Linked DNA regions of Xenopus tropicalis. The protein of the gene in region 2 purifies or fractionates together with the protein of the main gene of each other region. This does not show direct contact. Links are inferred from orthologs where the notes say so. Each region holds a gene or a part of one and is shown on either strand. Other genes may lie near its edges.

Region 1 (4,274 bases), on a different chromosome or scaffold from region 2:
TGCAGCTACACCCTATTAGACCCATGCAGGCCTCTCTATTGGTTACATTATGATGCAGCAGTATTTGTCCAAATCACATTAATCAAATTGTCCTGCCTCCAGCCAAACTGTGCAAATAGAAGGGAAACCTACAAGCTAAACTGATTAGAATTGTAGTACTGGAAAGCCTGTACATTCAGATAAGGTTGGTGCCTTTCTGAGAGAAAAACTCTGGCTGCACCGATGGGGGGCAGGACCATGATGTGGCAGATCATTGATATAAAAGGGGAGGGGTGGTAACATAAAAGGGGTGGAATGGGACTGAGTGTGTTGATATTTGATTAGAAGGGAGGGAAGATAACAGGGCATTGGAAAAGAGGCTCAGCTGTAAGTGGTGATCAGGTCACGGGCCAGGAAGGACAGATGCTTACAAATTAACCAGAAAATACTGTAAAGCAAGTAAATTTGTAACACCGTAATACTGGCTAGGCTAGTGAAAAACCAGCCAGGTGGGAACCCTTACTCCTAAACAATTATTTCTCACCACACCAGACCTGGCAAAATACATCAAAGTCAATAGGTCAATTTAAGGTGGCACGTTTCTGGCATGGAAACTAGTACAGGTATGGGATCGGTTATCCCAAAAACTGCTTTTCAGAAAGTTCCAAATTACGGGAAGGCTATCTCTCATAGACTCCATTATAAGCAAATAATTCAATTTTTTAAAACTGACTTTTTCTCTGTAGTAGTAAAACAGTCCCTGCACTTAATCCCAATTAGGATATAATCAATCCTTATTGGTGGCAAAACTATCCTATTGGGTTTCTTTAACATATAACAGGTTCTATACCTGTATAAAATTCTATAAGCAGCAGCTTTTTATGTCTGAATGGGAAAAGGAGCAATAAGAAACTGCAGTAAAAGCCTTGCAGTCTTGTTTTTAGTCCCTGGGGTCAGTGACCCTGACAACCAAGTGGCATATCTAGTTACCAGCTGGACAGAGAAATAAGAGAAAAGCTAATAATTCAAAGCCGTACCAGGTAAATAATGAAGTGGAACATTGCTTTAAGCAGTCTAACTATAACAAAGGAAAGGGTCATTTAAAGGTGAAGTTCCCCTTTAAATACCAGACAAAATACTAAATGAGTTTTATCCCTCGCTGATCACTAAATAAGGGTTTGTGCAGGCAAAGCTCCTTTTATTGCTGTTTGCTCTCCAGTGCAGTCAGGGTGCCAGGGGGGGTGTGAGGTGACAGCAGCAAATATTTGAGCTGCGCCTGATTAAACTGTAGAATCCTATTAGGCAGAGGACGATGGCCCATTTACAACAGTGTTTCTGTGGGAAGCCCAGAGACTGTACACACAGATGGATACATGGGCCGGGCCCTTCCCTCCAGGTGTCAGATTTCTAGTAACCTGAGGGGATGGATTTCCGCCCTGTTCTGCAAAAAAGGTGCGCCCCAAGGGCAGCCTGGTGACAGTCACCCAACATGACATTCCTCACATGCCTTCCACAGTATAGACAGGAACAATAAACCAGAACTGGCCAATCTGCGGCCCTCCAGCACTACAACTCCCCCGTATCCTGAGAAACTTTCAGGAGCCAATCTGTCCTTAAACAAAAGACACTTACAGCACTCATTTCAGGCTGCTGCCCACCAAGAGGGGCCCATCAGGGCAACAGGTGTAGCAACAAGAATGAAGGATATCAGCTATACAGGGAAAGATGGAGACATAGTGCCCACAGTATTGCCCTTTAGCTGCATGCCAACTCAATAACTGAAAGGCCACAGGTTGGAGAGTCCCCCTTTATAAATAATGGGGCCCTATCAAGTCTGTTGTGACTGGGGCCCTGCAACAGTCTCAGGTGTAAATTGTTACAGGTCTGAGATCTGGGAAAACTCGGAATTACGTGAAGGCCATCACCCACTGACTTCATTTTAATAAGATAATTTGATTTTAAAGTTGATTTCCTTTCTTTCTGTAATAAAACGGTACCTTGCACTTGGTCCCAACACATTTATAATTAACTAATCTCCTTGCATTTATTTAAGGTTTAGATGTTTTTTAACAGAGTTAAAGTATTGACATCCAAATAACAGAAAGACCCTTTATCCAGAAAAACCCAGGTGTCAAGAATTCTGGATAACAGGTCCCATACCTGTAATACATGTATAATAAACTCAGTGTTGAGGCCAGTGATGTAACATGACTATCTCCAGCCTCCCTGCAGAAAAACATTTGGGGGGCCCTCTACACCCTGTTAAATTCAACCCAAATCCCTGCACATAGGAACACTAGGGGCAAGCACATGCCGGAGGGCGGATCCAAGGGGTATGTGGGTCCTGCAGCCACTGGGTCTGCTAGCAGACAGTTACACCACTGCTTGAGGCTAATAATAACAGTAACACAGACTGATAGACCTTTGTGCACTTTGTACAGCGCTGAATAAGCTCAGCCCAGTTCCCACCTATGCACATGTTGCGCTGCACAACTGCCTTTGTATTTCCACCTCCTCCTTCTACAGACCCTGCAGTAAATCGCAATATTCCTGCCGTGGGATAAGGAACAAGCACTTAGCTCTGATTACACCTCCATAATCACTTTGTAGTGTGTTTGCCCCCGCCCCGGTGCAGTTGCCCCTTTTCCTATGCATCTGCCTCCAGCCCAGAGTTGTTTACACACAGTGTAGATGGAGCAGCAAGCCCCGGACCCAATATACATGTATAGTTCAGTTCTGGTCCGATCCAGGGACAGTTCCTGGTTGGTGCAGATCAAGGAACAAGGGATCACGCTACATCACACTCCCAGTTTTCCGTCTCTTACCTGCGGTTGCGACTCAGTAACACTATGGAATCTTCTCAGGGCAACAGATCCAGACCGGGTTCGGCAGCAGTGCTTTTAATGTACCAGACAGGGTGTCGGGACAGACTGACACCAGAGCCAAGCAAAGGAGAAAGCGATGACAAAGCCGCACCTCGCCAGGGCCAGCCCTCTCATTATTAACCCTGCCTGGGCCATGCGGGAAGTAAACACTAAAGGAACAGGCGCCACCTATGGGCATATTTAGAGAATGCGACATAAATGTCCATTGGTTCTAGCTTTGTGTAATTGTAATTGCTATTGAAATCAGTATCTGATTAGATCTGGTTCTTACTCCTGAAACAATGTTGTTGATTTAACAGACCGGAATGAAGGGGGAACTGACCTCAGATACATTGTCTCAGGAGTCAGAACCAGATCATTTGAAAAAAGTTTAGTGAATGCATTTTGGAAAGTTGCTTAGACTTATCTGTTCATGGCTGCTTATTACCCTTTATTGTAGGGGAAGCAGACCCTGAAAATAATAGGAGGCTAGTAGGTACAGGGGCTCAGAGGGGAACAGCACTTTCATGGTAAATTCCTAAGGTTTACAGAGTTCCTTAAATTGGATTGCCATGTTACCCGCCATTTATCATCTTTACAGCATCATGAATTAAGGACCAAGGATTATTCAGAAGGTCAAAGCCCCTGATTTATTGTTACTATACACTGTAAGATCCACTTGTTTGGGGAGGTCACCAAGCCAGCAGATCTTCTACCAATATGCCCACCAACGGGTGGGGGATACCAGGCTATACAGTGGGCAAAGGCGCTGTTGGATCAGGGACCACATCAACAAGCTGATGCAGTCCCTGATCTAATGGAAAATTAAACCTGCCTGATCAAGATCTGACCAATTTCAGGCCAGATATTGGTAGGGGAGGCCCGTCAGTGGTGCCCATACACAGGCAGATAAGCTTCCAAATTGGCCCGTGTATGGCCACCTTTACAAAACATCCTCAGGCTAGCAATTCAATCATTGTTGTAGTTTAACAGCTGGAGGGCATTTAACTTTTGCCATTTTTGCCCCAGCCATCCTGCAGTCAGGTTCCTGTTCTTGCCCTGTCTATCAATTTACCTTTTCAGCCACAAATCATAAAATGTGCAGCACTGTCATTTTAAGGTGTCACAGGGGACCCTGGGCTGGAGGGCTGCAGGCTGCATATGTAAATACTAAACATATCTACCAATTCTTACACTTTAAGTTCTGTGATGGCACAGTTGCATGGGGAATGTGGTTGCTATTAGTACCAATCATTGGGAGGAGAGTCAGAGGGTACATGGGCAGATACATAAGCACAAGGGGCATGCTGATATGCACAGAAAGAACTCTGCTGCTACACTAATAGGTTCATTGTTCCAAACGGCTTTTCAATAAAAGTAATTCACTGGGCCAGGGTACTTGGCTAGGGGGTGCCATACAACCATATTTGC
Region 2 (3,649 bases):
CAACCATTGACGGTCTACTATGAACACAGGCATTTACAAATTAAATGGCTAATGGTGGTTGCCTCTGCCACCTATGTTTGATACCTGCCAGGTTTATCTGAATGACTAGTATGACTAGTATGACTGTACTAGTTATACAGGTACCTGTATGACTTCATGCCAGTTTTGGTAAATAAAAGCGAGTGGAGGACTGGTATCTTTCCCAGTGGCAACACTAAAAACACCCCACTGATGGCTGTGCATGGGTGCAAATGAATAGACAATAGCACCAAGCTTCCTTAGTAAACCAGTCACAGTGTATCTCATTGTCAGGTAACAGGGTTTTTCTGCAAGAGCTTGAGATTACTGGTTGAAATGACTTTTCTCATTTTAACATTAAGAATCCACTGGATCTTCTAAACACCTTCTTCACAGTCAGGAGAAAGACTGCAACAATCAATGCATTATCAAAGCAGAGGGGTTTGTCAATTGAGAATACATTTTTTTGCTTCAATGATACACCCAACTGTATCAACACTAACCAAAAATGAAAAAGTTAATAGCGGGAAAGACAATTTGAAAAACAAATTTGCACAATTGGGAAACAGCTCTTTTGCACACTGTAACCTAGAATTTAAGAGAGAAAGGGAAAAATCTAACTGGATTTTAATAAATAATATAGCTATATCCTTCATAAACTGGCCTCTACGTGTTTCAGGGTCTGTGCCTCTCAGGCGCACATCCATAGCCCTAACAGCCGTATGCACAGGAAGGATATGAGCCTGACCTGGAGATTAAAATAAAAGCAGATCTGTGGAACAGTGTCAGAGAAAAGAATTTGTGCAATTCACTTTGTGTTTCCTGACAAATTCTTATCTGTGTTTCTTTTTCTTAACACCATTAACAGAGTGCGGGGATAATGACAACTGAAAGGCGGTGGCACAGAAGAACATGAATCACTTGCCTGACAGCTCATGTTGGTAACACATGACCAATAAGTGATAATATCAGTAAGCCACACTTTGCTGTTTTTGTGCTCACACAATTGAATAAAAAGTAACCATTTGAGCACACGCGGCCAACAGGAAATTGGAGAAACACTGCCCAGGCACATAACAAGTCTTGCTTGAAATCACAAGTCTCTGGCATAGGTACTGACAGAACTACCATTGAGCTTTCATGGCTTATACACAAGCAGCCTTACCCATCTCTATTAAGATCGACCACCGCTACATCATAACCAAAGGAAGACGCCAGCCCTTCTCCTTGAAATGTATGTACAGCAGACAACATCCTCTCATTGGGTGGAAACTTTTGCAGCAGGACTACAGCCCCACTGTGATTGGCTCGCGGGGCTCCAGAAACAAAAGTCATTTCTTCCTTGGACGTTATCCCTCGCCCGGTATCCAAAGAAAATCCTACAAATTAAAGCCAGAGAAGACTGGAATAAGATAAATCTCACTTCGCTTTATGATGGTCTGCAGCTTAAAGGGATCATTATTTACAATACTACGTTTTACTCCTATAATTAAAATTAATATCACCAGCACTGTAAACTTGTTAAACCAGTCTCTGCAGTCTCACTCAGAAATCAGCCCAGTAGTCTTAAGCATCCCTTGATCTCATATTCTTGTTGGTGTCATTGCTGGGGGGGTGGAAGTGGACCAGATGGAGACTGATCCAGAATGAGATTCAAAATAGTACCTGGCATTTCAAGTAAAGAGAGGTCCAAACAGGCCCCACCAGGATCAATAAATATTGGTTGTCTGTGGCATCTTATGGCAGCTACTCTGGCATTTGCCAGAATCTATAGATTGCTCCAAGCTTTAATGGAGAAAGTAGCCCTTTTTATCATGTCTCTGCAACACCGCTTTGGTGATGTCAAAGACTGGCAGAAAGAGAACCTGAACAGCTAGCTTTGCACAACTGATATGGCTAAAGTCAATTAATTTTATTCAATGACCTGTTTTAGAAAACTATTTACTAAAGTAAAAATATTCTTCCTATTTTGGGAGTATCTACAGAACTGGGTTAAAAATTAGGGTAATGATGCTGATAATAATCCCTTTAAGTAAATACAATTAACATGCAATAAATGAACATGGTGTCTTCATTACCAGAAAGGAGCCACTCTGTTGTAGACACGTGTCTCTCAATAACATCATTTATAAGAAATAACTCAGTGCATGCATTTTGATGATACCATGCTGCTATACCAGGGATAAGTCACCTAAAGCCCCCCAGATTTGCTGAAGGACATCTGGAGCCACAGGTGTCCCATGTCTGGAGCAACACCAAGATGGAGGCTGCAAAAATGTAAAGGAATGGAGCAAATATATTTATGCCATGTATAAACTTAATTTTGCCTATGTGTTTCAAGGTACAACTAAATATGGGGTGAATTAAGTAGGAGAATATTAACAGATGTGTATATGCTTGAATTATTTTCAGTTAACCTATGCAAACAGATATAACATGGCTTAGTTTTGAGAGATTTAATATACAGTATTCTCCAATAGGATTTTAGTATTTGTTGTCTAAGTGACCATGAAACACATGTACACTAAATACGAAAAGCAGGAATATCTCCCTCCTGATATTGTGGAGATGAAACTGACAGGGGTGATGCTGGGTATGGTATTTCAATTCTATTTACGCTATTACATGTATGTAGAAATGCATCATGGGATGAGCACGCAGGAAGTGTGAGTGGCCAGAATGGTTTGCCAGTGATGCCACAGGTGACGTATCAATGGAAAGAGTTTCTGCAGCCAGTTACCACCAACCTAGGTAGCTATTAGTCATCACATCAACGGTTTTCTCCGACCTGGCTCTGGGGGGCCCAGATTTGTACAAAAACTGGTCTGGATCAGTATTGGACATGGTTGTCATGAACAGAAGGCCTATACGTACGTATGAAGTCCCAGAAGAAAGAGAAAGCAGATAGAGAGACAGCAAGGTTACGGAAACACAGACACAAGCCAGTCCTTGATGACATTATTAGAGCAACCCAGTGATACAAAGTACAACTGTCCAATGCTAGAAATGTAAATGTGTTCCTCCTGCTTCTGAATTCCAACTCACAGTATCCCTACTCTTACAGGGTGCTGGGATTTGTAGCTCAATAAGAAATGGAAGGCTGCTGATTAAACTACAGTCTTGCAGTTTGTTCCAAAAGGGCTTTGTAGCCTCAGACTATTATTACCTAAGTAACTGTTATCTGGTGCAGGAACTAAATCTGAATCTCGTTTGTTTTCACCACCAGTTTCATAAGGTCCATCTTCAAAAATAAACAAGTCTTCTAAAGTGTTATTTTTTTGTTCTGCCCGGACCACTCCTAAAGGATGAAATGAAAAATTATAAATAAAAATAAAGAAAGACACTGGAAATGAGTGAAAAGGAGTAGTTCACCTTTAAAATACCTTTAAAGGAACAGTAACACCAAAAAATGAAATTGTTTTAAAGTAATAAAAATATTATTTACTGTTGCCCTGCACTGGTGAAACTAGTATGTTTGCTAAAGAATCGCAACCATAGTTTATATAAATACCCTGCTGTGTAGCCATGGGGGCAGCCATTCAAGCTGGAAAAAAGGAGAAAAGGCACAGGTATTATCTGTTATCCGCTAATTAACCTGTGGCATTCCTCCTTTGAATGGCTGCCCCCGTGG

The links. Proteins that work in one complex are often made in the same cells at the same time.
Region 1: the proteins of itga6 (region 2) and cd151 purify together in Homo sapiens (co-immunoprecipitation; 3 studies listed by BioGRID and IntAct, with this or other methods). This does not show direct contact. The link is inferred for Xenopus tropicalis from reciprocal best matches to the Homo sapiens genes ITGA6 and CD151.

What each region holds. Positions count from the first base shown.
Region 1 is NC_030680.2:31,275,572-31,279,845, forward strand, and holds the start of cd151 (CD151 antigen), read right to left. Parts: upstream 2,903-4,274; 5' UTR 2,805-2,902; intron 1-2,804. UniProt on the Homo sapiens protein: Structural component of specialized membrane microdomains known as tetraspanin-enriched microdomains (TERMs), which act as platforms for receptor clustering and signaling.
Region 2 is NC_030685.2:67,286,157-67,289,805, forward strand, and holds part of itga6 (integrin alpha-6), read right to left. Parts: intron 3,317-3,649; coding exon 3,185-3,316; intron 1,398-3,184; coding exon 1,184-1,397; intron 1-1,183. UniProt on the Homo sapiens protein: Integrin alpha-6/beta-1 (ITGA6:ITGB1) is a receptor for laminin on platelets. Integrin alpha-6/beta-1 (ITGA6:ITGB1) is present in oocytes and is involved in sperm-egg fusion.